Drosophila melanogaster: one gene and its partners. The protein of the gene in region 1 purifies or fractionates together with the protein of each later gene. This does not show direct contact. Each region holds a gene or a part of one and is shown in the gene's direction. Other genes may lie near its edges.

Region 1 (10,506 bases):
TGTATGTTGCTCTGGATCCCGAGCTAGAAAAGGTGACAGGACAATACTTCAGCGACTGCAAACTGAAGGAAATGGCGCCGGCTGCCACCGACACCCAAACGGCAAAGTGGCTTTGGGCAGTCAGTGAAAAGTGGACGAAGCCAACGATGATTAAAATACAATAGTTCGTATTGTGAAATATGTTTCTGACAATCCCTCTGTTACTTCGCATAAATTTTCAGTTTCTTACAGTCTACACAATTCCACTTGTCTTGTTTTAGTTATTTTAACGTGGCCGACTAATAAGAGTTGAAAGCTCAGGGCTTGTGTGCGTTCAAACTTACGTACCCCGAAACCGGTTAGGGGCAATTTCTACATCATTTGTTTAAAATAGACGTGTATATCCATTACATTTTAACCCGAGCCTTCGGTCCAAAAGTTTAGGTTCATTTCGGCAGTATGCAACATTTTCGCTCTTTGTAAAGTTTGACGGTTTCGGCTTCTTGTCGCTATAAGCAATTTTGAATGTGTTCGAATAGCGGTTCTCTGATTAAAGAACACTTATAGAAGCCCGTACTATCAATTTTATCAGTTGTCGTCCGGTAATCGCTGCGGCGATCTCTTAAAAACCCGCACAATTTCGCCCGCGGTGGCACTTTGGAATAGACCACAAGAAGGAGCGGACCGCTTAGCCAGTATGGAAATTGTTATAAGGTTTCTGCAAAGCATAGCACCCGTCTTCTTGGCCCATGGGATTGTCGGCATTATCGCCTTCTGCGTGAGGTAAGTGAGACGCCAATTTAAAATGTAACGCTGAGAAGCGTTATCGACGACGTATAAAAGTGACGACAAAGTAGTTATCACCGATTAACATGCATTGTTTTAACACACATCAGGCTGTATATGCAGGGCGGAAAGTTTAGGAAGCAGACCGATGAGACGGGAAAAGTGGCCATCGTTACTGGCGGAAATACGGGTCTTGGCAAGGAGACCGTGATGGAGTTGGCCAGGAGAGGAGCCACCGTTTACATGGCATGCCGCAACAAAGAAAAGGTGGAGAGAGCGCGCAGGGAAATCGTAAAGGAGACCGGAAACTCCAATGTCTTCTCACGGGAGTGCGACTTGTCGTCCCTGGATTCCATTCGAAAGTTTGCAGAGAAGTGAGTCATGCCACTCCGTAGTGTCTTTCTCTTGAACTAACAATTCATTCACAAACAGCTTCAAGAAAGAGCAGAGGGTGCTGCACATCCTCATCAACAATGCTGGTGTGTTTTGGGAACCGCATAGATTGACGAAAGAGGGATTCGAAATGCACCTGGGTGTAAACCACATCGGACACTTCCTGCTAACCAACCTACTGCTCGGCGTGCTGGAGAGGTCGGCTCCTAGTCGGGTGGTGGTGGTCGCCAGCAGGGCCCACGAACGGGGTCAGATTAAGGTGGATGACATCAACAGCTCTGATTTTTACGACGAGGGAGTAGCCTACTGCCAAAGTAAGCTGGCCAACATACTCTTCACCCGCGAACTGGCCAAGCGGTTGGAGGGAACGGGCGTGACGGTCAACGCCCTTAATCCTGGAATAGCAGACACGGAGATAGCCAGGAACATGATCTTCTTCCAAACAAAGTTTGCTCAGTATGTGGTAGAGTGTGTCCTCTTTCAATTCTCTTTTTATACACTTACTAATTTTTGGTTTTCATTTAGAACCATTTTGAGGCCGCTCCTTTGGGCCGTGATGAAGACGCCTAAGAACGGGGCCCAGACCACCTTGTATGCTGCCTTGGATCCTGATCTCGAAAGAGTGTCGGGTCAGTACTTCAGCGATTGCGCTCTGGCTCCGGTAGCTCCCGCTGCCCTCGACGACCAGATGGCCCAGTGGTTGTGGGCGCAGTCCGAGAAGTGGGCGAAAATTGCGCTGTAAATGGGCTACTGGAATAGTGTGATTGGGCTAGTCGCAATTAAAGCCACTTAAATTTCACAACAGCCGTGGTTATTGAAGTACGCACTCTTAGTATAATAGGATATACCAGATTCAATGGCCTGTACTAGGTAATAAGAACAATTAAAGGATTTGCTAGTCGAGGAACATGATATCCTGATTCATATATCCTACCTGTTACGTGGACCTTAACTACAATAATTTAGGTTGATTGTTACTTTACAAGTAAATCGTATAGTTAGTTCAGGTAATATGTTAGATAGGAACATGTGTCATATTTACTAAATAAAATTTAAACTATATGTAAGCTAAATAAAACTGGGCTCCAGTGTGGCAAATCTTATGCACAATTGAGCATCTCTTGTCTGCCGAGGAAACGAGAACAGGACCTTAAGCATCACGTGAAATCGAAACTAAAGGGATAAATCGACAGTGACAGCATTTTCTTGTTCTCATTAGAGTCACGGGATTTTCTTGAAACGAACGAATTCTCATAATTCTCTATGCAAACGGGAAATCCTGTGTTGTTGAATCGCAGTGCGTAAAACCACGTATCTGACAAGTTTACTACTACAGTCAATAAACCTTAATTTTGTATAAAAACAATAAAACCATTTGTAGCATTTAAATAGTAAGCATTTAGTGCTTTATAATTACGAGCTCTGAGTTCTGCTTTCAAAAGATACACTTTTGTAGGCGCTAAGGAAGTTCTTTTGACCCACGCAATTATACGATAACTGTGTCCAGCTCCACAGTTATATAATGATCTCATCCTCCTAATAGTGTGGTCCAGATGGGTTGCTATTTATGGGTCACGCACTCGCTTATATTTCCTCCAGTTGATATGGTGTACTGCACAAGAGACAATGCTGTAAGGATCACCGTGACAATGTAGTCCATGACGAACTCCCTGTCGCAAGTGATGTCTAGGATGATCATATTTTCGAGCGGTTTCAGCTTCTGGTGAATTATCAACGAGGTGTGCTGCGGAAATGTAATTGGGAATGAATTGGAGAAGTCGGCCAGGGAAGCCAGCTGCCGAAGCAGATCTCACCTCGTTTTCGAGAACCATTGCGATTAGAAGGTGTGGCCTGACCTTCCTCATATACAAGCCCTGAACGATTACGAACAGTTGCTGAAGCTGTACTTCAGCATCGCGAAATCGATCGGTGCACATGCCCAGGATAAGCACATACAGTATCGGAACGCAGACGGGTCCCAAGCAACCGTCCGTGATGATGTAGATCTTGTTCTCCAGCTCGTCTCCGGCGAACAGACTGCATTCAATGAGCAGTTCGGCGTTGAAGATGCAGGTGAAGATCATCAGGTAAACAGAGGTCGAGAGCCAGGAGACGTTGTCCCTAACGTGCTTATGCAGATTGTTGATGCGCAAATGGAGCTCAAAGAGCGGGATCAGGCGCCGATGGTAGTGAAGCTCAATATCCAACCGATTCGCATGGTCCTCGATGAAGCGCTGCAGGAACAGAATAATGGTGTGGTACCAGCTGAGCAGGATGAGTTGGTAAATGAAATAGCCAGCAAAGCAGTACTCCAACAGCACCCAGTAGAGGAAGATGGACGAGAGGAAGTAGGGCTTGTACCACAAGGAATCCAGCATGACGGTGAGTATCCACAGCTTAGCCAGGTACACCACTAGCAATGTGGAGTCGCACTTATACTCCATACCGAACTTTTGCTCCAGCGCGCTGGTTATATGCAGGATCTCGTTCACAGTATGCTTCAGGAACCTGCGATCCCTCTTCAGGTGCAGGAAGATTAGTAGGCGCCGCAGGACGCCTATCACGATTCCGAGCACAATGAGACTCATTAGGAAGTTCTGCGCCTTGCTGTCCTGCACCAGTGTGATGTGGATGTATATGCCCAGTCCGAGTACGAAGTACTGTAGATACGGGCTGGCCAGCAGTATGACCTTGAGGACAACCACGATCTTGGACCATATTCGATGGTACTGCGACTCCTCCACTTGATTGGTGCGCTCGTTGTAGTGCAGCTTGAAGAAGTGGAGTCCGCAGGCGATTGCGTAGATGATCCAGGCACTGCCCTTGAAAAACCACCGATGGAGAACTTGGTTTGGCTTTCTTTGATGCCTGCGAAAGTTGGTGGCGGACCACATGGCTTCGGGTGAATGCGAGCCTGTGCTCATTGGATTCCGACCAGTATGTTAATCGAATCGAATTCGGGTGTTAGTACTATTCGCATTAACGAAAATGGCCAAATGAAAGTAAAAGGCCCAAACAAAACAAAAGGCTCTCCAACAAATTACATGGTAAATTAAGTAAGTATTGCTCAATCCAAAAATAAACGGAGCTGCTGCCCAAAAATTATCATTTCATTTAATTTATGCAAGGTAATAACATGGAAGACTAACTACTTCCCCTCGTCATCGCAGAAGCTGGTCATTAAATGTAATTTTTACAAATCGATTGCTGTGAAAACAGAGCCTTAAATAAGGTGTATTTATAGAGAGCTTTCCCACATTCATCATTTAAGACGATCTGAAAGCCTAGGTCTGAAACTCATTCTAGTAATACACTTTAGCTATATCTACATTACCCTATGATCGACGGTTATTATGATTCTATCTATACAGCTTACATAATAAACTTTGGCCGGACGATAAAAACTTACGGAAGCATCCGTTTCCCTCGGCGACGCGGCAATCGTAAACCCTCCAACCTTAAACTTAAAACGATGTTTTATACCGGTCCACGTTAATGTTTCAAGTATGGACATTCCGAGGTTTTGATATTGCTCGTAGATGATCCAGGCACTGCCCTTGAAAAACCACCGATGGAGAACTTGGTTTGGCTTTCTTTGATGCCTGCGAAAGTTGGTGGCGGACCACATGGCTCCGGGTGAATGCGAGCCTGTGCTCATTGTATTCCGGCCAGTATGTTAATCGAATCGAATTCGGGTGTTAGTACTATTCGCATTAACGAAAATGGCCAAATGAAAGTAAAAGGCCCAAACAAAACAAAAGGCTCTCCAACAAATTACATGGTAAATTAAGTAAGTATTGCTCAATCCAAAAATAAACGGAGCTGCTGCCCAAAAATTATCATTTCATTTAATTTATGCAAGCTAATAACATGGAAGACTAACTACTTCCCCTCGTCATCGCAGAAGCTGGTCATTAAATGTAATTTTTACAAATCGATTGCTGTGAAAACAGAGCCTTAAATAAGGTGTATTTATAGAGAGCTTTCCCACATTCATCATTTAAGACGATCTGAAAGCCTAGGTCTGAAACTCATTCTAGTAATACACTTTAGCTATATCTACATTACCCTATGATCGACGGTTATTATGATTCTATCTATACAGCTTACATAATAAACTTTGGCCGGACGATAAAAACTTACGGAAGCATCCGTTTCCCTCGGCGACGCGGCAATCGTAAACCCTCCAACCTTAAACTTAAAACGATGTTTTATACCGGTCCACGTTAATGTTTCAAGTATGGACATTCCGAGGTTTTGATATTGCTCGTATAAAGAAATGTGTAAGGGGACTGGATCTGGCCAGTCGCCACTTGGAGCTGGTAGCATTCGGAGCGGAAAGATGAGTGCACCCACGGATTACCTGTTCTGCCCGCTGGCATATGGGTCAGCTCTTTCGGCCATCGGAATCTATCTGCTCCGGTGAGTTTTGTCCACTCTCAGTGATGGCCCTTTAACCTCAGCCAGTTAGACAATATATGCAGGGAGGTCAGTTCACCACGAAAACGAATGAGACCGGCAGAGTGGCGATTGTGACCGGCTGCAACCAGGGGATTGGCAAGGAGACCGTTCTGGAGCTGGCCCGCAGGGGAGCTACCGTGTACATGGCTTGTCGGGACATGAAGAAGTGCGAGAATGCCCGTCGGGAGATCATCAAAGCGACCAACAACCAGAACATCTTCGCACGCCAATTGGACCTGTGCTCCATGAAGTCCATTAGGAACTTCGCTGCTGGGTAAGCACATTCCTATTGACCTTAATGAATACACATATAAATAAAGGTACTCAATTTAATACTTTTTAGCTTTAAGCGGGAGCAAAACAAGCTTCACATTCTTATCAACAACGCCGGCATTATGGACTGCCCCAAAATGCTGACGGAGGACGGATTTGAAATGCAAATCGGAGTGAATCACATGGGCCACTTCCTCCTCACACTTCTGCTTCTCGATGTCCTGAAGAGTTCCGCGCCCAGTCGCGTTGTGGTCCTGTCCAGCATTGCTCACCGCTTCGGAAGGATTAAGCGTGACGACCTGAACAGCGAAAAGTCCTATGACAGAAAGATGGCCTACTGTCAGAGCAAATTGGCCAACGTCCTCTTCACCAGGGAGTTGGCGAAACGCCTGAGCGGAACAGGGGTCACGGTAAATGCCCTACATCCCGGAGTAGTAAACACGGAACTGTTCCGCAATACACCCTTTTTGGGTTCGTGGTTTGGAAAGTAAGTTTGCTGATTGCATCATCCCATCAGCTATTAACTTTCGGCTCGCCTTTAGATTGCTCATAGCCCCTATTATATGGATATTCATAAAGACGGCTAGGAATGGCGCACAGACGACCCTGTACGCTGCCCTGGATCCCAGTTTGGAAAAAGTATCTGGAAGATACTTCAGCGATTGCAAGCAGAAGCACGTGGGCTCGGCCGCCCAGTATGACGATGATGCCCAATTCCTATGGGCGGAAAGTGAAAAGTGGACGGGAATTAATATATGAGCAACTTTATGACTCTTTTAACTCTTACCCTGTATTGTTGAAATACATTTAATAGAATAAGCTAAATGAGCTAGATGTTCTGTTCAACTTTTGTAAAAACATTACAAACATTTTAAAAACATTTGGCTGGAAGTCTTGGAACCAGTTATCTGAGTAATCTTAAATAAACTGATTTAGTAATTGCATTTTTTAAATAAACATTTAGTTAACGTTGCCTTGGCGTCACTAGAATCTGAACTATTTAGCAATATATGATTTCGGTTTAAGTCATGAGCTGTCATAGAAGCAGGTGAAAAACTAATCGAAAATAATAGAATATAAATAAGAATAATAATAATAGAATAATATGGTATTATAAGATTAGGTATTAATTAAATTAGACTTGCAGATAGTTATTTAGCTTATCATGCATTTGCTCGACTTGCAATGAGGTTTTTATAAACTAGAAGCAAAAAGCTCTCAGCAAACCCCAAACATATTTCGTTCTCTCGCAGTTTCGAATCAAACTCATCGTGAGTAAGCGTTTTGTGGCTTTCGTGTATTTTGGAGCAGATAGCGTACATTTCGTATAAAAGGCAGTTCCAAACGGACGGGCAAACATTCATTGACAGAACCAGCAAGTGAAACGAACACAAACGGCGGCAAGATCTATACTGTATCCAAACAAAATGGGCTGCCTTACTAATTGCTTGTGCTGCCCCCTCATTTTTGGCCGTCCATTATCGGACTGGCTGCCTACTTGCTAAGGTATTTGCATGGAATAGTTCTACTGCTGAGTAATGATTAATACGCTCGTGAATTGCGGCCTGTGTTGAAATAGAGTGATAAGAATTAATGAATTTCAGAAAATACATGCAGGGCGGTCAGTTCACCAAGCAGACCGATGAGACCGGCAAGGTGTTCATTGTCACCGGTGCCAACACGGGCATTGGCAAGGAGACGGTCCTGGAGATTGCCAAGCGAGGAGGCACTGTGTACATGGCATGCCGGGATATGAACCGGTGCGAGAAGGCGCGCCAGGATATTATCAGGGAGACAAATAACCAGAACATATTCTCTCGAGAACTGGACTTGAGTTCGCTGGAATCCATTCGCAAATTCGCTGCTGGGTAAACGCAAACATGATAGATCGACGAATGCGTTACTGATTTCCCTCGTTTATTAGATTCAAGAAAGAGCAGGATAAGCTTCATGTCCTGATAAACAATGCAGGAGTTATGCACTGTCCCAGAACACTGACCAAGGATGGCTTCGAAATGCAGTTGGGAGTCAACCATATGGGACACTTCCTGCTCACCCACTTGCTGCTGGACGTATTGAAGGTATTTTGGGTACTCAGGACTTTCTTAGCACCTTGTTAACCAAACTCCCTGCTTAATCTCACTAGAAAACTGCACCCAGTCGCATCGTGAACGTTTCCAGCCTGGTGCACACCCAAGGTTTCATTAAAACTGCCGACCTAAACAGTGAAAAGTCGTACAGCAGAATCGGTGCCTATAGTCAGAGCAAGCTGGCCAACGTCCTGTTCACCCGGGAATTGGCCAAGCGCCTGGAGGGAACGGGGGTCACAACCAACTCCCTACATCCCGGTGCCGTGGACACGGAGCTGTCGAGGAATTGGAAGTTCCTGAAACACCCCTTTGCACAGTAAGATAGAAGACATAAGTGGGCACTACTTGAGTTTGATATTAACACTCGTATCGCTTAGGCTACTGCTCAAGCCCCTCCTGTGGGTACTCTTCAAAACCCCTCGCAATGGAGCGCAGACCACTCTCTACGCAGCCCTGGATCCTGCACTAAAGGATGTTTCCGGGCTCTACTTTAGCGACTGCCAGCCAAAGGAAGTGTCCGCAGCTGCCCAGGACGACAAGACTGGAAAGTTCCTCTGGGCGGAGAGCGAGAAGTGGACCGGCGTGAATTCAACCAAAGTTGATTAAGCAACCATTAGTTTATCCCTCGCCATTTCATAATTTATTATTTTAATAGCTTATCATAATGAAGACTAACGCAAAATGTAATAATTTATGTTTGAATTGTAGAATTCTTACGGATTCTACAAGCTGAAAATAAAGAAATGCTCCCAAAAAAGCTTTACCTAATCTAAAATTTGTATTTTGAGATCAACATTGTTGCATTTCTGTGTTCAGTACTAAAGAAAAATGGTCAAATTCTTTTGTTTTTTTTGTAAAAGTGATGGAATCAATTTGGATGATTCATGCTTTATTTTTGTACCCGTTATTCCTGGAGTAGGAGGGTATACTAAATTAGTTGGAAAGTATGTATGTAACATAACGAATCAGTTAGTTCCCTATATCTCGACGTTCAAACGGACGGATATGGCTGGATGGATCGTTTTGACTAGTGTTGCTGATCAAGTCTAAATATAAACTTTATTCTATATGTTACATACTGTTCAGCGAACCTATTATACCCTTTTACTCCACGCGTAATATACCCATTGAGTAAATATAAACATCAATGGAATTGCTTTTATTTGTTTGAATGCTTTCCACTATCATAACATATTATTGAGAATTCGTTTTCTCTTGACCTTCGTTAAGAATCTCTCTCCCGACGTTCTCCATTTCGTCAGGTTCTCACTCCGAATTAGCGATAATATATGTTTGTGTGGGGTAGCTGTGCTCAGTAATATATTAACAGCTGTGCTGTTCGTACCAGAACGCACTCAACGATTGAAATAAGATCTGACAACACCCTAAATACAAGGAATTGTACAAAGATATTCAAAATGTGCATTTTCATCGATTGCTTATTGAGCCCCTTGATTATGTGGCCAGCTACTATCGGCGTGGGCATCTACTTCTTGAAGTGAGTTGCGGTAATTATTTCGTGTAATTATGAAATATACCAGTGTGACTACGCATCCATGACTCGCTACTATGATTCCCCCGGGTAATAGATAACAGCTTTTCAGGTAATTCCTATTGATAATTCCAGGGAGTACATGCAAGGTGGAAAGTTTACGAAGGACACCGATGAGACCGGAAAGGTATTCATTGTGACCGGTGCCAACACGGGCATTGGCAAGGAGACGGCTCTGGAGATAGCCAGACGTGGGGGAACTGTGTACTTGGCTTGCAGGGATATGAACCGATGTGAAAAGGCCCGCAAGGATATCATCAAGGAGACAAATAACCAGAATATATTCTCTCGAGAGCTGGACCTAAGTTCCCTAGACTCCATTCGCAAATTTGTTGATGGGTAAGCTTACCTCCAGAGAATTTTCTTGTCTCTGTAAGATTTAAAAACCTATCCTATCAATCAGCTTCAAGAAGGAGCAACCCAAGCTTCACGTCCTGATCAACAATGCCGGCGTGATGCGTTGTCCCAAGACCCTAACCAAGGATGGCTACGAACTGCAGCTGGGAGTAAATCATATTGGTCACTTTTTGTTGACTAACTTGCTGCTCGACGTACTGAAGGCAAGTGTGCTATATAATAGTCAAGTGCGTCAGATAATGGTCTTACAAAATTTCAGAACTCGGCTCCCAGTCGCATTGTCGTTGTGTCCAGTCTGGCACATGCGCGTGGCTCCATTAACGTAGCCGACCTCAACAGCGAGAAGTCGTATGATGAGGGCCTAGCCTACAGCCAGAGCAAGTTGGCCAACGTCCTGTTCACCCGGGAATTGGCCAAGCGTTTGGAGGGCAGCGGAGTCACAGTAAATGCCCTTCACCCTGGTGTGGTGGACACTGAGCTGGCGCGGAACTGGGCCTTCTTCCAGACAAACCTTGTGAAGTAAGTGATGAATAAGTGAATTAGGACCTTCCCAGTAATACCTGTTAACCTTCCTAGGTTCTTTTTAAAGCCAATGATTTGGCCGCTTTTAAAGAC
Region 2 (11,087 bases), on another chromosome or scaffold:
GTGGAGAGCGGGGAGGGGGGTGGTGCTAAAACTAGGGTGGCTGCAATTGATAGTGTGTAAGCCGATTGCTCAAGGCGGCAAAAGCTGCGGAGCATGGGTTCAGGCGGATCCAAGTAGTTGGCTGAGTAGCTGGGTAACTGGGTAGCTGGGTAGCTGGGTAGCTGGGTAGCTGGGTATCTGAGTATCTGGGGAGTTGGCAAAGCGCAAATATCCCATTTATGTCAATTCGCAAAGTTAAGCGTGAAAGTAGGAACTCAACTTCAAGGTTTTCCCCCAAACAGACGCTAAATTCCAAGAGATAAACAACGACTTGTCGGCAGTCAGCGAAACAGGAAGCAATGGCTCTTGGTAAACAAATCCAATCAATTTTTTCGGTGCCTTTGGTGCCTTGGAGCTTGGGCAAAAGCCATCATAGGGGTTCTGTTCTTCAATGGGTTAAAATATAAAAACAAACTCAAGCACTTTGTGTAAATTGTCGAGCCAAAAAGGGAATATAAGCACATGAATTTTGATACACAATTTATTCTTATATCGTATTTTACTAATTAGACTAATGGAAAAGACCTAACGTTTTGAATTTGGATATATTTGGATATATTAAAGAGCCCACTAAATATTTGCAACAGTTTAAATCCCGTCCTACATTTACAGGAGCATCCTGTTCCCCCTTGGAACCACCCGCACCAGCAGGATCAGCCCGGAACACTTAAGCCCAAATGGCAACACAAACACACGTCCTGGAAAAACCAACAGCCGAAGGATGACAACGGCGACACTTGAGCAAATGCGTTTGCCGAATCTTCCTTTATGCCTCCTGCCTCCTGCCACGCCCCTTGAGCCGCGCCCCTGCCCTGCAAAGTGGCAGGCAATCTTCGGAAATTCCTCCGCAACGATATAATGTATACGCTCGATATTTACGCATTTATTTATGCCGCTCTTTATTGGCTTTTTATCGTTCATTTATTTTGCTCGTTATGTTCGCGTCGTCGTAGTCGCGAACTCACGCCACCCAACTTATTTGCCCAGCTATTTTTGGACTCACGAGCGGAACGATAGGAGTGTACACGACATGGAATAAATGCATGCGTTGGCCCAGCGGACGGAGGATGGGGGGAAGATGGGCATGGCTTATGCGAACATCGATCATCCGCCAGTGAAAGGTCGTTCGAATGGAATGCAAATGAAGCTTTGGTCACCGAAATTCCCGCGCTGATTGATAAGCGCCATCATCAGCATCATTACCGCCATTATCATCCGCTTCCACTCGTCCCAAATTGATATGCAAAGTGTAAGCAAAGTCCGTGTTACTAACACCTGGTCCCGAATCCCCCACCACCACTGCGCCCTCTTGGCAGGCGAATCACCTAGCTCGGGTTCCACCCTCCGCCACCCTCCACCTTCCATTCCGAACCGAAATTTAATTAACATTTTTAATTCCTCCACTTGGCGCGGCCAAAGAAAGCCCTTCCACCACTTTCCTTGGCGGAGGGGGGGGGGGTATATTATTAATAGATTCAGCTAAAAAAAAAACAGTCTAATTAGAAGCTTAGTCGTTCCACAAACGAGGATCTAATGTCTCTTTCCTGAGGAGAAAGTGAGTTTAAACACAAAATGGGTATTCAAATTTGAAATCAAATACTTAGCAATATACTTAGATGTTTTGAGAAATCAATTTAAAATCAATCAGTATATGGTAACTAATTTTATTAAAGCAGCATAAAAAGCCATGCATTTATGATATCACAAGATATAATTAAAATAGGCTTATGGTGTTTAACCTCATATCAAATGTATGTACACAATAAAATGAATATTCTTTCAAAAGTGTCACTTTAATTCGTTTTTATTTCCCATTCATTGCCTTTAGACCACCCAATTTCTCTCTCTTTACTCTTGGTATTCGATGTATGGATGTGCAGAAATCATTTTGAAATGGATCGTCTGTCCAATGAACCCGGTCTTTCCAGTGAGTGTGCCGTGCCCTGGTCAGTCCGCTCACTTAAAGCTGCAGTGTGGATGCCATTATATGGACGTCTTTCCCTACTCCCATGCAACTCTTTGCCTTCTTCCCATTGCCCCCGACTGTCTTCACTTCTCCCAACCGCTGACAAATTCGCTTGGGGCTACTCTGCTAAAATTCCATTGAGTCCCCATACAATCCCATACAGAAGCATAAGCACTGCCACTGCTACATCCACGATGACCGCGCAGTTTTGGGGGCTATTTGCATGGGGACACCTATTTTTAGCTAGACAGTGGAGCAATGACTCTTTTATGCCCCGCGAGTGCGAATATGCCATTGGTAGCAAGCCGAACTGATTTTGATCGTTCTTGTGCCCTATAAGGATCAGGATCATCCAATCTAGGTTTCTTTAATACTAAAGAGCTGTATGCTCCGTGGTGACCTGTGCCACCTACGAGTATAGCCTTAGTTTGTTCTGCCGGCCAAAAGGCCATTCCAACTACTGAAGAACATACATACTCGTACATGGATTTGAGACCACCGAGAGCTGCCCTTCAGAAACACACACACATTTGTGCGGCGGGTGTAACCATGCCCATAGGAGGCAATCGGTCTTGTGATAGGGAACACTTCCGACGACCTTGATCCGAGCACAATTTGGCCCCACTCATTAAGGCGATGTGCACAACGTACGCGAGTGTTTCAGATTAATTAAAGCAGTCGGGCCAAGCCAAACAGCGTCACCATCAGCCGAGAAATACCGACTGGCTGTCTGAGCCCCGCCACCCACGGCCATTGGTACCTAATCAGATATGTATGTATATCGATGCTACTGGGAATTTGACTGTGCCTGGGACTGTTGTTTCTACTGGGAAAGTGTCATGGCATGGGTGAAACACATTTAACGCCTCGAGCCATAAATTACGAGCCGTGCCAGCAGCAGTGCTGACAACATAAATCTGAATTAGTGGCAAGCGGGGCAGCAAGCAACAAACAAAACCGAGTATCGATCTCACGATCCGTGGTCACTTAATGCCGGTACCTCGTAAATGGTATTCATAACTCTCACCCGCTCCACCAGGGATTCGGCGCGGCGCGCGAAGGAGGCGCGTTTATCGGCAATGGACATGGTTGGACTGGGGCTCTGGATGCGGTTCAGGATCGGTGACTGGGACTGGGCTATCCGGAAGATACTGGGAACCGACAAGTCACGCGGGGGTGTAGGTATCACCGGGGAACGCAGCTGAAATGAAAAGAGGCAGAACTTTAAACAGGCTGTTATCTATCTAAGGCACACGATCGATATGGTTTTAAGTCTGTAATAACTAAGCAAATATCGCACGGCACACGCTAAGTCGAATCATATGCAAATACAGTGGACATCAACAAGACCCAATACCAATACCAAATACTAGTTGCTAGTGCAAGTACAATCTATGCAGGAGCCATCTTGCTAGCCGAATTCCTTTTATTTCTATTCTTAGGGTTAACCAATTGGTTTATAGTTCATATAGCATTATTTGCCAAAAAAAAAAAATATATATATATATAATGGCAACATTCGAGGTGGAGGTCCCGGCCCCAAAAGTCATGAAATCTGCCGCGTATGTGTTTTCATTTTTGGCGAAAACAAAGAAAGACTCGGCGATGAAATGCAATTAATATGCAAGTGCCACTCATTGTGATGGTACTATTCTGGTCTATTACCTTATGGACCGAATCGCAATTATGGCGCAACTTCAACTTTGGACTCGAAAGTGTCAGCCACCGAGCTCAGCATAAATATTCGAGCGGAAATTATCAACAACTGACATTAAAATCGGAGCGGGAAAGACGCGACTTTCGGCCGGAGACGATCGCATGCGATGAAAACGCGTCCAAGTCGGAGGAATACCGCCGTAGAACTGATGACACACCCGGGCCGAATGCTCGACTTTTGTAGCGTAGCGAGCATAAAGAGAGTGCGTTGAAATGGGAAATTCATTATTTTATTTTTAAACGTCGTCGCCCTCTCTATTTTCGCAGATTGGCTTTTCCTCGCTTGTTTCTTGTTTCGTGGCAGATTGATTTATGGATTTCGGTGCAACAGGTGCTGGCCAGTTGACAGAGCGCCGAAAGTCCGCCGGACACACCCACTGCTTCCAATCTGGAAAACTGATTGGGACACAAAGCTGCATCCAATTTGCATAATCCCATCAAAGAGCACTTGCACCCAATTATGATAATTTCGGCTTGACGCACTAGGCATTATTGGCTTCGAAAAATTGGAACTGCAGTTCAAATTCAAAAACAAGGTACGGAGAAACTAAAACAAGAGGGAACGCTACAGGCGAGTTCCCCGACTATTAGATACTCCTTTCTCTGCTAGTGAAAGTTCAAACATGAATTTCAACATTTTCTGACATAGCAATAAAACTAAATTAATCTCTCTTATATATGTAGTTCCTGAGATCTCGACGTGCATACGGACGGACATGGCCAGTTCGATTCGGCTAGTGTTCCTTACCAATATATGCTTTATTGGCTCGAAAAACACTTCCTTTCACCTGATACATATTCGTTGAAAAAGGAATCTAGAATACTTCTTTTTTAATCTACGAGTAATATTTTTCATCGCGACCCGTTCATTAATCATTAATCATTACTAAATCTTACTAGTTCTGCCATTTGGTCTATAAGACATATTGGAATTGGAATGCAATTCAATTCATTTTAGTCTAGCGTTTGTACTTTTAGTAGAAATAATTCTCATATGGATGGAAGATTTCAATCGGAGTATTAAAACCAGCCCTCATTTTCTAAAATCGTGCAAAAAAGATATGAAAATTAAAGTATTAAGTGCCATTAATGCCATTAAGAATAGGTTTGGTTTTATTTTTCACCAGCCCACTTTTCAGATTAGCAATGCTAAACTCTCAGCATTACCTTTAAAAAATCGTTCTCATTTGCGACTAGTTCGAATATCTATCTACATTCTGCCGAAACTAACTAGAGAAAAACTGAAGTTCTACGTATGTAAGTATAACACATTTATTCTACACAGCATTAGCGAGGTTACACACCTAGCGAAGTCATCCTCCCAATTAAAATTTCCCTAAGCGGAGCTAGTCACCACGACCACATTGCCACTTTATTAAAACTAATAACTGTTTAATAACTGTAATAGAATAAGTTAAAATAATTAAATAATATGACTAATCACGTGTTGCTAATACAGTTAAAAGGCTAATTATTTAATTTAATTAATGTTTTGTAAACAGTTTCCATGCAGATGTATTAATAGTTTCCATGGCAGACTTTCTGAAAATGAACATTCTAAAACTTAGCGGAATTTCCCCTCTCTTTCTAACGGTTATTTGCTATGCTTTCAAGCGAAAGTAATCGATGGTAGCGAGGAGCGTATCGATGTGCGCCAGTTTTTTGGTGGCAGCGATGGTATCGCACACACATCGATTCTAGTGCCAGCCCTATTTTTTGTGCAATTATTTATTAAAAATAAGCAACGACGTGAGCGAACGACACGACCCACGAACGAAGGCAACGAAATGGCAACGCGCGGCGGACCAATGGTCGCGGGCACCGATGGCAACGACTTCGAGTTCAGGCAGCGCGTAGCTGGCACATATCAAATTAGGTTAATAACACTTCGTGCTATCGCCAGCTCTCAGCTACACTCGAAATTATCTAATTACTGGGGCGCCTGTGGCAGTAGATCCACCTGCAGGCGGCACCTACTGCAGCCGAATCGCAGGTGGCGTCCAGCCAGGGCGGCGGAGCACCCTGGAGCTGCTGCACCCACCCACTTGCTGCTGTAGGGGGCGGGTGGGCAAAGTGCCAGCTGGGCAGCATGTGCGCCCCAATATGGGGCTCACCCACACAGATCCGCCACTGAACGACCACTTTCTCTGCTCTTTTAGCCTGCTGAACAAGTCCAGGTTGAAGTACTGCATCTTCTTTCACGCCCTGCTGTTCTTCGTGATGCTGGCCAAGCTGACGTCGGACATTCTGGACCACCTGGATATCTTTGTGCTGGAGATCGAGGAGCTGGAGGTCCCACCGCCCCTGTGGTGGGAGTACGTGTGGGCCGCGTCGTTGCTCACCTCCTTCCTGGGCCTTTCGGCCGCCAGGGGCAACAAGGTGCGCGAAATGCAGAAGTATATGGTGGCCATACTGCTATTCGCCATCCTGCCACTCTTCTACTGCTTCGCCTACTACTTCTCGGACGTGTGGGAGTTCGCCACGCTGGACAAGTCGGTGGAGCTGGACGAGACAGACATCTTTGTGTGGCGCGTAAGTGGCTGGGCCAGTTAATCCCTCAAGAGCCGCCCTACTAAACCTCGGTTTTTCTACAGGGTTATCCGTACGGCGTCTTCTGGTATGCCTTCTGCTTTGTGGGCTTCCAGGTGCACGGATTTACGCTGTACTTCGCCTACAACCTGGTCAAGGCCTGGAAGGCCAGAACTGCCACGCGCAAGTTCCAGTAATCTAAATACTCGCCAAACTAGTAAACGCCGGAATGCAGGGCTAGTTGTAAATAATTTGGAAACTTGAAACTAACTCAAAACACTAGTGCACAAAAGCGTAATGAAACTATGGTAAACTAAAGTTATGCAGCTGTTAAGGTATCGCACACTTAGTCATACAGGAAGGGAAACATATGGTCGAAACTGAGCGAAGCGTCGGCGGTAAGGTTATTGTTAGTTGAAAGTTAGTTGATACCGTTTTCAAATTGATTAAATAGACTCTTATCCATATACACATGTACACCTATACACATAGACATACATATATACACACATACGCAGCCTTGTGAGGTCAACTAAAGACAAGAAGCAACTGAAGCCACCAAATTTCCCCGAGTCGGAATAAAAACTGAAAACCAACCTAGAGATCACTTCATTTTTGCTCACTTACATTTCGACGTGCCTCGTGTTTGTTAGAAACGTTTTATATATATATTTACACATGAAAATATGCGTACATCAGTTTATGTTTGCGTCCACGGATGGTTACTTCCTCGCCTAGTTGATAATTAGTTCACTTTTCTACAAATTTCGAAACCGTTTCATTTTTGCCAGTACGTTAATTTTGAATTTTATTCATCGAACCGCACAGTGCCATGCTTTAAGGCGTCTGGCCGGGTGCTGAACGTTTGAGAACTGCCCCAAACTATTTACAACCTTCTGTCACTGTTTACACACTACTATAAATAAGGATTGAAATGCAATTTGAGTGTTAAAGCAAAGTTCTTCAATTTCTGATCGTCAATAATACTGTGTAATGACAGGCATGTCGCCAAACTAAACTGAGAATTGAATTTTAATGTAATGATGTTTTTTAAATCGTAATTTATTATTCGAATTTTTAAGTAGTTTTTTAAAAATCGATCAATAAAGATGCATATATATTTGTTCTTCTGAGTGGGTTAAACATAGCATTTTATTGCGGTTGATTTAAAACAAATTTTGATAAGTATACCTATTAAGTCACTTAATGTTTATATGCTCATCTACAATATTTATCATAACTTTAAAGAGGCAAATACAAGTTCTCAAGCTTTATTTCTTGAAAAACACCACCAAATAAGGACCTTCGCCCAAAGCAATACAATCCAACACAACCCCACAGGCCGTTGCAATGCGGCTGGCAGGCCGAATTGGCCACAACAATCCAGTTTTAGTGACCATTTGTGCATCGAGGCGAGTGGAGGAGCAACAGCAGGCGAGCATTGCGCAATTGTTTACAATTGGCGACGGAGAGCCAGGAAGCTGAGACAGAGAGAGAAAAAGCTGTGGCGGAGAGCCAAAGCTTTTCCGCAGCATCCTTTTCTCCCTGCTCCGCCCGCTCTCTTAATTTTCCATTTGTACATTGCCTGTGCGAAGAACGGATGCCGAATTTTCCAACACACCATTTCGGACCGAAGTAAACACGAAAACTAAGGAAAAAAAATTGTGAAAAATTCAAAATTACGAAATTACTCGCACTAAATTTAAATAATAAACGACTGGTGGAGCAAAATGCGGGTCGAGGAGGCGACCTATAGGCGCACCACGCGCGAGAAGATTGTGCTGCGAGGGAACACCACCATACGCACCGTGGACTCCACTTCCACATACCTGCCCGTGATGAGTCCTGCGGGGTGAGTGCTTCGCAACGGCAAAGGTCCAAAAGGGTGGGTGCCAGTTGGAGGCGCAAGGCGTGCCGAGACACTTGAGCGTTCCATGACTGTCGCCCCGCAATCGATTTTTATCTCGCGCTGCAGCTGATTTTTAGATACATATACAGATACTATATGTGTGTGCGCGCATCCGAAACGGCCTTCGCTTGTGGCTCACCTCCGGATTATCGGGTTCTGCCTACATGCACATTGAAATGTGGACGAACCACTTCAAGCCTCCTAATGGCGGTGCTCTCAAACGTATGCTATAGTTTCTGGGTCCTCGGGGGAGGCCAACTCAAGAACCGGCTTTCTTTGGCCGCATGCAAGCCTGCCATTAAATTACATTGCCGGCAGATTATTGGGAAACCACTGCCGTTTGAGTAAATAGTCGGGCATACGCGAGTGAGTGAACGCCTTGCTTTCCCCAGAAATCGATGAAATCTTGAGCCAGAAGCTAGCGTGCATTGACCACAGTCCAGCGCGTTGGGTAACCCGAGGAGTTGAGAGTGCTGTGGGCTTACATAGAAGCACGAATGTCCTTTAGACAATGAGGAAACTTCGATAAGCAACTAGACATTAGTAGAAATATTATATATTTCATTTATTTATATATTGTATATATTCTTTTTTTTACCTATCAATAGCTATATACAAGGAGCATATAAGCAGAACAAACATAAACCCATTAAACTGAAATCCATATATTTGAATTTCAATCAATATTTAGAAAGATGGCATTTCCTAGCTCCGATCGGCGATTTCTTTATTTTCCCCCAAGTCGAGATACTCTTTCCCCGTAATTTACCATGATTGAAACCGCCCCCCAAAGTAGCGCCCAAGCGAAACTTCCTTTAACCTCAATCCGCATTCACACGGACGCACACCAGGCAACTGGGAAAACTACCCGGTCCGGTCCGTTCCATACCGGAATGGTAGTGGTGGTCGGTTTGTTGTGGACGCGTCGTCCAGTCAAGCGGTCAGTTTCAGTTGGACTGCAACCCTCGAGTCGGCTGGTCGGGTCGCGTTTTCGAACTCCGAGTGCGAGCCAATCGAAGGCTCCAGGCGCAGACTGTCAGGTAGCAAAGTTTCCGCCCGAACATATCCGCGTGTGTTTTTAAATTAATAGTGAAGTGTCTGTGTCTCGTCCTAATCTGTGTGACGCCGGCACAGCGCCATGTTCAACACCAGTGCACAGAATTGGTTCGGCATGGGCCAGACAGCCGTGGATCCGAGCGGCGGAGTGGCCCAGTTGCTCAACAACAATTCGAGTCTCTACAATCAGCAGCAGCAGCAGGCGGCGGCGGCGCAACATTCCTTCATGCGCCAGCGATCGCTGACCAGCTCCAATCCCGTCCTGGGGCGTTCAAACGCCTTGGCCACGCGGCCCCAGTCGCCGCCCAACGTCCAGGTTGAGTACGAGGTGGCGGTACCCTTCGTTCCCACCTACCGGCACACTCCATACCACTCGCTCTGGGATCTGCACCAATGGTAAGAGCTAGTAGAGATCTGTGGGCACAAGAAATCCACTATAAATTGGATTACTTCCGCATTTGAATTCCTTGACCTGGCAGTTGGTAACTAGCTCGTTGGTTGGTCAACTATCAACCCAAAGTATTTCCTTTGTTGCATACAAGAAAGCCACCGGGTACCTTCTTGACCCCATCCAGTTTCCTTTCGCGAGTATATTTCTGCCAGTCATAATTGGCATTTTGCTGTAATTTGCATAGTACGAAATGTCTTGTGTTGTGCCAATGGGATTAGCATAAGCACCCCTTGGTGACACGATTTCAAGTGGCCCATCATAACTACGAGTCCAAGGAAATCCGCCATCACTGGACTTTCCCATGCCGGGGTTTTTCCACGCTCAATCCGGCCTTGTAACACTTTGCCAATCAATCAATTGCTCAGTTCAAATGCAAGTAATTCCTAGATTATGGCCCATTGATTTGTGCATAGTAATGGGAACAAATAGGCAGTGGCCTAGTTAACCGCTCCACTAATCATTCCCATCAGGAATCAGGAGCCGAGAATCAAAGAAATCGTGGGCGAGCACATGAAGGAAACATTAACCCAAATTCGAACGAGTACAGCCCGCAATATAAATACCAAGCGAATGTGCCAGGAGTCAGGCAATATGGTCGGGAATTATGGCTGTGCTGCTGCCAACTTAATTAGCCAGGCGTAAAATATATTGCGGCCCACTTTGCAGATCGAGATTTACATTGTTGCCGCCGGAATGCTCTCAAAGCCTTTAATGCCTCCAGATGACGCATGCAAAGTCGAAAACACGTCGAAAATACAATTCAAATGCGAATACAAAAGTTAACAATTGTCGCCGACACGTCAATAACCTGGCCAGGAGCCAACGAGTTTATTGACCCCACCTGCGGTTTGAATAGGCGCCCCCATGGGAGGCGCCACTAACTCTTCGTTTCCCGGAAATTCCCGAGCATTGTCTGCGGAGTGGCAGGGTAGGGTAGGACAGGGCAGGATGGGAGGGTCCTCCGCAAGGGCTAACTAATATTAGGCGGCTAGACACGAGGATTCCAACCGGTATATGTGTGTGCACACACCAGGACACGCGAGCCACTTGTCCGCGGCTGATAAAGCAAATGACCTTTGCGACATGGCCAAGTTGAATGGCAGCTCCATGGAGCCACCTAATAGTTATGGGTAGTTAGCTATGAGTTTTAAAAATGAGCCCATGGGTTTTGGTTTTGCGTTGTTTGGTGGCTCTTAATTATATCCTTATCAGTTATATGTTATGTTTTTTACAGATAAGGAGTTGTAATGAGATAGTTTGGGAATCCTTAAGTGGCTTCATTAGATTCGTATAGTATAGTTTCCCAAAACTTTCTCCCAAAAGATAAAGATAGAATTGACAATAACATCTTAAAGATACATCTCAAAATACCTAATTAAATACGAAAATATTTGGGTTTGGCACTAATGGCATTGATCATA
Region 3 (11,434 bases), on another chromosome or scaffold:
TTGGTGTTCATACTCCGTTATCATGCGGCGGAACTTTTCCGGATGCTGTTCGATAAAATCGTAGAAAATGTCAGCCACCTTTAGCAAAGGCGATTGTTGTCGCATCTTCTCAAACTCAAAATCGGCATCTAATAGAAGACAGATTAATTGTGATTAAGTTAAATATTTAAACTGCAGCTCACCTGTTGTAATGACTGCATCCGGGCCAGACACTATGAACAGCGTCTGGGCGGGTAGGCTTTTTAAGTACTCATCGTCGGACACCTCGAAGCCATCAGAAGCCAAATACAAATGTGGCTCGAGAAGCTAAAAGGTAAAAAAAAAACGATTTAATTGTAATGCCCTTGACATGGCCGAATTATAACGAGGCCAGGTCGCCCAATTCCTGGTTCAGGGGCCTTCAGTTTGTTTCACATTTCTCTTTTTTTTTTTTTGCCAGGCAAGGACGTTCCATCAACAGGTGGTTAGCTCTACTATACAGGACATGCGCATTGGCATTTACTAGTGGCATTGAAAGAGAGCCAAACAAACGCGGAAGCCACTGCCAGGGACATGGCCTTGAAAATTACCAGAGCCAGGAACTTTCAGCCCATCTACGTGGGTGGGTGTATATTTCGCGCTTTTACGCAGGAGTTTTTCCTGTTTTTTTTTTCTTACCGGGAACTTGCTTTTTGCCTTGGCTATCAGCATTTCCAGGGAATTGGCTCCGATTCCGTATTTCCTCGTTCGCTCGTTGTCAGTAACCTTGTAGCCACGCATTGGAGCACCTGCTGTTCCCCTGGATTCGGATGAGCTCACATCCTTGAGAACTTCGCCTGTTGGCTGGCTGCTTTTCTTGTTATTCGAGCTGCTGCGTGTTGTCGGTGACATGATTGCATCTCTAATGTAGCTGATCATCGTTCTGGCTCATAATAAAGTCAACTTTGGAATGTAGTCCTCGCAGCAAGTTTCCTTATCCGCGGACAAAGCAAAATAAACTAGCAGAACAAGGCATTTTTCGCGCTTCTCAACACTAGATTCTCATTGAAAGATTCTTTAGTTGTGCTGCAATTTTAGCTAAAAATTGCAAAAAGCTATATAATAATAATTTATTTTTTCCCGTGTTTTGTAATTAACGAAATATTTTTTATATTTTTATTAATCAATTCAAATTGATAAAATTTTCATTTATTCTTAAATTAAATAATGTGTAAATTAATAAAATGAAAATAGCCAAATTAATAAAATACAAGTTGAACGGCGCATTTCCCACCACTATTGCCTTCAGTGTTTTGCAGCACTTATGCATCTAAAAACAGCTGTTCGGGTAATCATTTTTTTTGTTAAAAGTTTCTGTGGAAAAACTATAACAAACGTAGTCTTAGTGTACAATGATCTGGGCTACGGGCTCCGCGTAATCCGCAGCTCACCCGGAAAGGCGTTTTACGATGAATCTACGGCCGCGATGCCGCAAGTGGCTGCCCCTAGCCACCCAGCAACTTCGACTGCGGAACCTTAACAGAATTCAGGGATTCAATATTGAGTCCTGGCCGCATGAGAAGTCGCTGGAGCTAGATGATCCGGATGATGTGCTCCTCTACTACACACTACACACGGACAAGGCTAGCGAAGCGTTCTACACCAGCGAAAAGCTGCCGCAGCGTCACCAACAGCAAAAGTGGGCGGAGATTTGTACGGACGACGAGGCCTGGCGGAAAACCAATGCGCAGTGTGTCTGTGTCAAGGTGTGGAAGCACTATTCGGCGGAAAGAAGAGATGGCCAACCGCCTGAGGTTGAGCAAAGACATAAGGATGTTTTCGGGTAAATAGGAGACTTTGCTTGCAAATAGAACTCTGCTATCATCAACCAACTTACTTCCAGAAGATCCCAGTTAACGCCCAGCAGGCTGCCACGCCCTCCTGAACTACTGTTCAGCTGGGGCGTCTACTTCTCCGGCCTTATACCTCTGTCTCCCCTCACATTGTCCCAGTGCGGACGAAATTGCTTGGTCTTTCAATTGAATGGCGAGCAATTTGCCTCCCCGTCGATGATAAGCGAGCAGGCCTTGCAGTCGCAGCTGCATTTGCACTACCAAAAGTATGCGGAGGAAGAGAAACTAGAAGAGCCGCAGGATGAGGGCATAAACTCGCCGGCCGTTAGTCGTAGTTCGAGTCCCGTGCTGCGAATGAGTACGATGCGCTATGCACAGCTGAAGTGCCAACGGCAGGAGATTCGGCGAAGCAACAACCTCGAAAAGCTTCTCACGTTGCAACGTCTGCAACGCTTGCATCAGCAGAAGCGGCGTCAAATGGCCGAGGTTTGCCGAGAAATAGCCCGCCTCAGTGTACACTGTGTGACCAGGAACGAGCTGCGCTTGAAGCCCCGCACGACATCGCTGTCCGGCGACTACTCCGCCCATCAGTACCATTCCATGGGCCGCGCCCTGAGCGTGTTGCTCGCCGAGCAGCAGCAGATCGCGCCCCTCACGCTTTATAATGCCCAGCAGCTAACTAGAAGGATAGAAGCGCTAAGCAGTCAACAGCGGCTACTTAAAGCGGAGCGGGAAACGTTTCGCCAACGAAACGAGCGCACCCGTCAACTTCTGAAGGAGATGAGAGAACAGCGGGAGGCACAGCAATGGGAGCTCCACAGCCAGCGACATCGACTGGAAAAAGAACGTCTGGAGCTACGAACCCTGGCACCTCAACATCTGGAACAGCGCGATCAAAAAAGACAAATAGAACGGCAGGTGGGGCTGCGGAATCAAATAACATTAAACAAGTATATTAATAAACCTTTTCACCCTTTTAAGGTGGAGCGCCGAATGTCCACACTGGTGTTGGAGCTACAGGAGATCTATAACATCCAGAATGTGGGCGGTCGGCAATTTAGTATCTGCGGCATCGCCTTCCCCCACATGGAGCAATACACGAGCGAGTCACGTCAGGCGGCAAACGCACAGCTTCTGGATAACGTCTCGCCGCTGGCAGTGAGTGCGGCACTGGGTTATGTTGCCCATTTGGTGCAGATGTTAGCCATCATTATGGATCGACCTCTGAGGAACCGTATTCTGTACGAGCCATCGAAAGCAAGGATAGTGGACGATATCAAAGAGTTGACGTACACAACAAGAGAGTAAGCACACAGACTAAATATTACCTTTTGGTATCTTATTGTTCCATCTTAGATTTCCTCTGTATACACGCTCCATTTTGCCGTCGCAGCAAACAAAGTATGCCATCTACCTTTTGCGCCAGAATGTTTCGCAGCTGTGCTTCGACATCACGGGCCAGTGCGATCTGCGAAACACTTTTGGCAATCTGCTGGAGCTATTCAGCACTCTTCGCTACATCGAACGAACGCAAAGGGATGAGGTCGACGAACGGGATGGAACTGCAGTTGGAGCTGGCTGTGGAGAAGCACGCTTGGCAAATGGGTTGACGGCGCCGCACCTGTCGCAATCGCACTCTTCGGTCGACATGAATCATGTGCCACTGCCGACTGGCGTCAATGCGGTCAAGGATGCACTGCTCCAGCAGCTGTTGCCGCCGGGTGTGAGTGAGGCACTGGCAATCGAAGGCTATGCGTCAACTCAACGGTAATCTATATATACATATATTTAGAGCCAAAAACAAAAACTACCGGATAAAATTTAATAATAATATATTGTAATATTCTTGCAGCATTTGCCGTTCGGTGGGGTCCTATTCAGATGGCGAGGATGAGTTTCGCCCGCGACTGGAGCATAACTATTCCAATTCGGACTCCAACATAACTCTGCAAACTGAGCGCAGCTGAGCTAATGCACCCAAAAGTGTTATATTTCCAGCGTTTATATCCAATATCCAAGATAGCATTGTTTAGCGGCTCCTCCTCAGCGGGTTTCTTGGTATTGGCCGCGTATTGTATACTTTTAAATTATAAAAGTCAATGGTGAAGTATATGTGAACGGTAGTCCATTGCGATAATATTATTTTTAGTTGTTTAAGATCTCTGTGTAAATTCCCTTTTATTGTTTGTTTGCTAATATAAGCTACGAATAAAGATTAAATATTTTATACATGACAAATATTTATTTAATATGGATGACAAACATTAGAAACACGTCGATAGAGATTAAGTCGAACAATATCCAAGGTCACAATAAACGAAGTGGTTACGATGCGGAAAACCTAAGCCTTTCTTCATATGTTCTGAAATAATGCTGAGCCCCAAAATTAGTTTATTTGTATATTCTGTTTGAAAAGTATTTTTATGAGTTTTAATTATAGTTTGAATTAGGCGCCAAAAAGTGTTGCAAAGTATGAAGATAAATTGCTCCTTTAACTTATAAAAATTATACCATGTGCTACTGTTACTACATAATATTGTACAATCTGCTTATATTAACTTTTGCTTTATAATTTAAAATGTAAGTTTTGCTTTAAATCCTTAATAAACTCAAAATATTACAGCCACTGCTTGGTCAGTGCTGCAAAACGTTCCGTTCCGTTAACAGTGGTCTGTAAAGCCAGCTGATTAGCATTTCGCCAAAATTATTTCGCTGGCAACTTGCTTCCGGGATTTGAATGTTTTTCGGGCTACATCCGGGCTATTAATAAATAAAAAATGTGTTGTCAAATACCCAAACAACGTCCAAACGTAGTGCGATAATCGATTTAATAATTGAAAACGCGAAAAGCCTGCAAACCAACGTGCTAAATGAAGTGCATGTGCATATGTGTGTGTGGCCCGGGCCTTGGCCTTTTATTTATCGAATTCGTATCAATTAAATTAAAACGCTGAGCAATAGTAGGCAATTGGTATTTATGGTGACGATTTGGTAGCCGGCAACTGTAGCCACTGATAAGCGGACGACGGGGAATGCCTGTGATTTACGCGTATATATAGTGTGTTTACCCTACCTGTTTACCGCTCAAATAAAAAATAAAAGAATAAAACTCCAGGTGTGATAAGGAGCAGCCGTCGTTCACGCCTGAAAATTGCTCAATGGAAACGTGGCAATAAGACTAACTGAGTACCCAGCATTTAATTTTTCTGAGATAATATCATCTGAAAGTGAGAGTAAAACTGCATTTCTGGTGCTAATTAGTTAAATTCAGGCGCCAAAACTCTTTCGAACAGCTCTTTTAATCAAAACTTATTACTTTAAGCTGACTACGCTTGCTCTCTTTTAAGCTCTCTTGTTTTGAAAATGGCTGAGAGCAATGTACCGCTACGAGATTTCGACGAAGAGAGCGAAACGGATTCGGAGACCGAATTGCTCATACGCCGCGATGTACCGAGCGGTAAACAGAACAACAACAACATTAGGGGGCGACGCAAAAGCTCCATGGGCTACAGCGGCGTCGACGCCGGCGCTGGCAGCTCTGCCGCCGGCGGCGGAGGCAGCTTTCTGGGCAATCTTTTCGGATCCAACAGTTTTGGCTCTGCCGCCGGCCAGATACGTTATAGAAATGAGCGGAGTCGCGAGCGCGCCAAACACTCAAACGGTAGCTACAGCAGCATTTCGAAACTGGCGCAATTAACGCACACGTCATCGGGCGTCGCGGGGGCGGGATCGATCGGTGGCGGTGGTGGTGGGAGTGGCAGTGCCACCGGCATTAAAGTAACCACTGGCGATGGCAGTGTAGCGGCATCTGGAGGATCTGCTGCCACGGGGGATCTCAGCAATGGCGCTACGCACAGCACAACCGTCATAGATCCGGAAAATGGCTCATCCACGGTCTTCTACCAGCACAATCGGCGTAAAAGCAAGAGTCGCAGCATTGGCAACGTCTGCAAGTTGTGCCTCTGCAGGTGAGTGTGCATTCGGTGCGATCCAGTCGTTACCCTCCAATGCCAACGCTGCGTATGCGCAATATTTCCATTTCACTGCTGCAATAGTTGGCGGCAGCGGGAGTAATGCGAAAGTATATAGTGCCGCAACAGCTGTTCACTGGCCAGCAAAATATTGGGAATTCAAGTGTTACCTTTAGGGAAAATGGTTAAATGTTTTATATTTTCGCACATAAGCGTTTAATGGCGATTGAGACCCTTTTACTTTTACCACAAGGTATTGAATAAATTATAACTATAGCAGGAAGCAAAAGTTTTAATCTATCACATTAAGACCTCGAAAATTTGTATATTTTTGAAGAAATATTATCTCTTATCGCTTCAATTTAAATGTCTTATGAAATAAATTAGTTTTGTGGAATTTTATAATCTGTGTTTCCGTAGATAGTTGACTTTGAACGTAGAATACCATTGCTCATAAAATGCTGACAACACTAGGTATAAAACTGTTTTTCATCGTAAACTTCTATAAATAATTGAAATGTATATTAAATATTTGGCAAGAAAAAACGTTGACCTCTGTAACGTTCTAGACATTCTATCACTTTCGCAACTCAACAGTTGTTATGGCAAACAAGTTGTTGTTTTGTTTCTGCCACTTGAAATATTTGTTTATTATTTTTTGGCATGAGCCAAATCATTGTGTGGTTTCCCAAAATGAGCAGCGTTGTCTTGCAATTTGATGTTCTTCTTAACTTAGAACTTTTACGAAACACATTTCCAAGAAAATAAATTCTAGCTGAATGTGTGAGAATTTGTGCGCCACACATGTGTGACATACACAATGAATGCAACTGTATGTAAAGCATATATGTATAGCATATATATATAACGATTCCAAGATATATTTTTAATTTACCTAATTAGAGAGAACTTTTGAGAAAGGCCGCACATGCGAACAAGCAAGCACGTCTGTAAGTGGATCGTAGAAAGAAAATTAAAAACATTTCGTTTTCTGCGCGCCGTCGACGGACTGTGCAAATCGATAAACGTGACGACTTCCAAGACTGGGGGAAAAGATTTCGACGAATGGAAAATAATAACAAAAACACGGCTATAAATAGTGGCCAAGACGAGCGACTTGGTTGGGTGACAAGGCATAAACGAAACGCAAACATTGCCATCCATGCCCCGCCTTTCCTTGCCATTTCCTTGCTCCACACCCACTAAGCGAGCGTTTTTCTTATTATTTTGTTTTGTTTTTGTTTTAGAGTACAAACTCTTGTTGCCGCAAAACTTTGGCCAAAAATATCACACACAACACCACCCGTTAGCTGTGCATTTTTAATCGATGTTTGCCGTGCGACTTTAAGCCCCATTGGTGGGCGAACGAAAATAAGAAACATGAACGAAAACGACTCAAGAAGTCACCAAGAAATGCTAAAAAATTCGAAAACCAGTTCCTCAGCTGGTTTTGGCCACACAACACAATCTTGTATTCAAGGTTTCTAAAAAATACAAACGAGTTGCACACAAGAAGTGAGTCGCTTTAGGGTTTTTAGTTTTACTTTTTCGGTCGGACTCTGCTTTCTGTGTTAAAAATTGAAAGTTTCTCTGCCGCCCAACTTCAAATAATTGCAGCATAGATCTGCAGATTGATATGGTTATTTAAACTTCTAAATTTTCTATGTTGACAAAGCGTTTCCTTATGTGAACATCTATTTGTCACTTGAATGTGAAAAAAGTAAACATTGACAAATACTGATATAGAAATCGACAAAAGTGGGAAAAGACAATAGCAAGTCAGAATGGCTGGACGCGAGGGCGGTAAGAAGAAGCCTCTAAAGGCGCCCAAGAAGGACTCGAAGAATCTAGACGAGGAGGACATGGCCTTCAAACAGAAGCAGAAGGAGCAGCAGAAGGCTATGGAGGCGGCCAAGGCAGGTGCCTCCAAGAAGGGACCTCTTCTTGGCGGCGGTATCAAAAAGTCCGGCAAAAAGTGATCCATTGCCACACCTTCATCTGTATATCTTGGCATATTCAAAACACACCAATGTGGACCAACTTTTATTATCCCTTGAATTGAAGTCTTCACGTTATTGTACAGCAAATTACTGAAAAAACATATAACTTTTGGTGTTTGGTATTTGTCTTCATCTCCAAATTCAATACTTCAATGTCATTTTTTGCCTTTGATGTGCGTCTTTAACTCGTTATCGCCCACTGACCACGAAAATATCTTGAAGCCTTTACACATTCAACTTCTCCTCAAGGTTTCCTTAATCAAAGCCTAGCTGTTTTCGGGGCGCTCGAAACTTTTCTCGGGTTTTTCGTTACATTTTGTTCACGCTCAACTCCAATTGCCGCCGTTTCGGTTATATGAGGCTCAAAGATTTCGACAGGCCGATTAGAATTGCAAAGTGAGGCGCCATGCGGCACAATTTGGTTGGTGTGATTGTTGTTGCCACGGTGGCCACTGTGGTGGAACCAGCTATCTTCCAAAAATATTCCATTGCTCTATCAAGTGAGAGAGCTACTGATAACCTAAGGTGCTTGTCTTTTACAAGGCAAGTAACTTGGATTACTTACTAAATTTCAGTTAAATTTTGAAAACAGTTCAATAATCTCCTGAAGTCTCTAATCAATCACTTAAGCTAATTGTAATGGCTACAACCAAAGCCATTACCACCAGCTGACAAAAAAACTTTTCCCAAGCTTTTTTCACTTAGCCGCATCCAAATTAGTGCGCCACGCCCCCCAACCCCCCTGACCACCCTCGTGGACGCCACAAACTGTCAATGGTAACGCCTAATGTTATTATTTTCTAGTCGCCGTTAGCTGTTTATCTAGTTGCGAATGCAAATGGCTGGGAACAGAAAAAGCCATGGCAAAACCGGGGGCTTGGAGGCTTGAGCGGTGAAATGCCTCAACGATTGACGCCCGCAACTTGGCCTGGCATTGTTTTCCACCCACCGGCAATGTGGGTTAATAACCAAAAGGCAGAAGGCAGAAGGCGGCGCAAGTCACACTATTCATGGCTCACCTCATTCCAATCCGGTTACCCGTGAAAGGGTATATTGTACACGTGTTAGCGTTCCACTCCCGCCCGAATAGCCAACCATATTTGCCTTTTTCCGCAATCGCCATATGTGCATATGGTACATATAGCAATATGTACATTTTCGCTTTTCAAAAATAATAATATATTATCGCTAGCCAAAGTTGCAGTTCATTTGAGGATTTTACAAAATTTCCGTGATGTAAGCTCAAGAAACTGGAACAAAATAATTAGTAATCCATAAAATATTTATGTACAAGTACTAATGAGTAAAGCAGCCGTTCGATTTAAAAAAAATAATATTTTTAAATAATTCATATTTTTGAATTTAAGCTGGTATGACTGTAAAGTAATATATTTAAGGGTTTTTAAGCCTGATAAGTATAAGTAGCAAGTAGCTGTAGGTAATTGTAATATATACAAAATAAAAAATAACTCAAATTTCTAGCTATAGGTCATTTTAAACACATTTCTGAGCCCTCAATTATGTAGTTTACTTGTGAAAAAACTTGTAAATAGTTTTCTTTGTGGCACACAGCCAATAAATAAAAACGGCTGAAGAAGTTTAAAGGAATAAGCAATGAGTAACCGATAGGCTATGCATAAATAACACAAATCATGTACTCGTGTACTTAGAAAAAACTATATCAGTGAAAAATAGTTTTTCCCCTGACAATTTCGTGGCTTTTTATGTTTGATAAACGGGGTTTCGGTTAAAAAGAATTTTAATGGGCTTAAATGAGTTTTGTTTCATTTTACATGCAATAATTTTCAGCTTTTACAAACCAAAGTAGTATTCGAATCTTTTATTATTGTTTTGATCTGGGTCAAAGATAATGCAATGCTATCAAGCCACAGAACTGATAAAAATATTTATCTTATACACCCATTTAAAAGATTTTCATTCGATATAATTATATGTCATCCATATCCACAGCTCTATTATTCTTATATGTATGATATTAAAACGTAAAGTTTTTAAATTATAATTGTTTATTTTCAAGTAATAGCGTAAAACGTGCATTTTTGAATCATTAAAAATGGGAGATCAAAAACTTGAAATCTCGAAATTTATAATGCCGAAAATGTGCACACTTGCAAAAATCTCGTTACTAGCAGCTGGTTAAATATATATTTAATAGGAAAGGCGGAAAACAATATTTGCTTGAGAAGTAGCATGGAATCCAAACTGCTGAGGTCTACAATTCGTTTTGAAATTTCCAGTTAATTACTCAGAACGAAACGAATTGCGGCAATTGTTTGTTATGGCCACTGCAATTGTTGACGATTGCATTTCAATTCAGTGGGTAGACAGGATGAGATACCTCAGCTGAATCGCAGTTCGATTGATAAGCGAGCATCTAAAAATGGCGAAAATACAATAAAAACGCATCTAGGCGTATTTAACGAGCGTGACACATATCGGGATTATGGCGGAGCCCCAAGGCTTCGGCGGTAAGAGCGCTGACTTTGAAGTGCAGCATGAGTCATACAGGTGAGCTAATTCTGCTGGCCCTTTTGTTTTGTCTGTTGCTGTAGCAGACTGGTCGTTGAACTTTCCCTTAAGCATTTTTGGCAACTTTTTCTTATGAGATCATGACATGAAATCGTCTGGCCAACGAATGTGTGTGTTATATTGACAAAACTTCGAAGCGCGCTCCTATTCGCACACGTCTAGCGCAAGCAGCCAAATAGAATGGTCGTAAAGAAAGAAAAAATGCTGTTAAAAAACCAGTTCGCTCGTGGGCAAACAAATAAGAGGAGCAGCACATCGCTAGTGCTGATCTAAGCAGCTGAAGCGTAGACAACTTGCAAGAGCTTATTTAATTAACATCCGAGTGCTAACGAAAGCGACGAGAAGACCTGTTGAGTGAGCAATAAACGTGTCATAAAGAAACCCGCCCGGCAAACAACTCATTTGAAATTGGCGCCCAAAGTACGCGCGTTGCCAGATTCGAGTAGCAAACTCTAATGGCAGCGCTGGCGAACGACAATCATATATAGCTGTCACTTTCCCCCTTATTGATTTATATAGAATCGCAAAAACAGGGTTGTTAAACGCGCAGACGACGCAGTTTTCATACGGAATTTTCACTTTATCATTTGTTTTGTGCATAAGAATTTTGCATAACGCACTTTTATTACTCGGAGTGCTCTGTTAATAGCGTGTGCCATGAGCCGCGCCTGTGATAATGTGAAAAGGGCCGAAGCAAAATATCGAATTGAAGTGCCAGCTGCAACTGCTGAGAACAAAAGCTGCACAAGACTACATAAATAATTTCGGGAAAATCAAATAAGTGCGAATCTCGGCCAGCAAACATGGATGATGCTACCTCCCAAAACTCGGCTGCAACGCCCATGACACGGGAGAACATTCCGTTGCTGAATCGTCAGCGAAATCGCTGGTATCTCTTTAGGTGTGAATCATAGGCTCAATTAAGTGTGCCATTTGCTTATCAGCTTTTTGTTGCTGTATACTTATACTTAGAAGCAGACTGCAGTATAAATATGCAACATGCACTATACTACAGCTAATCTCTTTCTAACACAAAGCCAGGCTTTCCACCTCCCACTCGCACACTCTCTCTCTCACTCACTAACACCCACACACAAATGCA

The links.
Region 2: the proteins of CG2070 (region 1) and jagn purify together in Drosophila melanogaster (affinity purification with mass spectrometry, with the first as the bait; one large-scale study listed by BioGRID). This does not show direct contact.
Region 3: the proteins of CG2070 (region 1) and CG31729 purify together in Drosophila melanogaster (affinity purification with mass spectrometry, with the first as the bait; one large-scale study listed by BioGRID). This does not show direct contact.

The regions. Positions count from the first base shown.
Region 1 is NT_033778.4:7,656,537-7,667,042, forward strand, and holds CG2070 (uncharacterized protein), read left to right. Parts: upstream 1-5,318; 5' UTR 5,319-5,500; coding exon 5,501-5,580; intron 5,581-5,629; coding exon 5,630-5,893; intron 5,894-5,962; coding exon 5,963-6,379; intron 6,380-6,434; coding exon 6,435-6,651; 3' UTR 6,652-6,872; downstream 6,873-10,506. Other genes in the region: CG30491 (uncharacterized protein), read left to right, coding at 1-164; CG30495 (uncharacterized protein), read left to right, coding at 677-762, 876-1,139, 1,198-1,626, 1,684-1,900; Grl43a (gustatory receptor-like 43a), read right to left, coding at 2,720-2,902, 2,973-4,052; CG2065 (uncharacterized protein), read left to right, coding at 7,504-7,760, 7,817-7,973, 8,039-8,298, 8,360-8,588; Rdh1 (retinol dehydrogenase 1), read left to right, coding at 9,401-9,480, 9,610-9,873, 9,938-10,094, 10,151-10,410, 10,468-10,506.
Region 2 is NT_033777.3:5,773,920-5,785,006, forward strand, and holds jagn (jagunal), read left to right. Parts: upstream 1-5,395; 5' UTR 5,396-5,508; coding exon 5,509-5,597; intron 5,598-5,880; coding exon 5,881-6,253; intron 6,254-6,315; coding exon 6,316-6,447; 3' UTR 6,448-7,389; downstream 7,390-11,087. Other genes in the region: kat-60L1 (katanin p60-like 1), read left to right, coding at 9,298-9,611. UniProt on the Drosophila melanogaster protein: Required for endoplasmic reticulum organization and proper vesicular traffic during vitellogenesis. Required for oocyte and bristle growth.
Region 3 is NT_033779.5:13,285,513-13,296,946, forward strand, and holds the start of CG31729 (uncharacterized protein), read left to right. Parts: upstream 1-4,484; 5' UTR 4,485-5,174; coding exon 5,175-5,779; intron 5,780-7,496; exon of another isoform or gene 7,497-7,566; coding exon of another isoform or gene 7,567-7,761; exon of another isoform or gene 7,762-7,903; intron 7,904-10,117; exon of another isoform or gene 10,118-10,246; coding exon of another isoform or gene 10,247-10,311; intron 10,312-10,835; exon of another isoform or gene 10,836-11,135; coding exon of another isoform or gene 11,136-11,233; intron 11,234-11,434. Other genes in the region: Drep4 (DNA fragmentation factor-related protein 4), read right to left, coding at 1-128, 183-306, 658-897; Uvrag (UV-resistance associated gene), read left to right, coding at 1,428-1,801, 1,862-2,729, 2,793-3,115, 3,168-3,578, 3,664-3,778; CG16824 (uncharacterized protein), read left to right, coding at 7,567-7,761.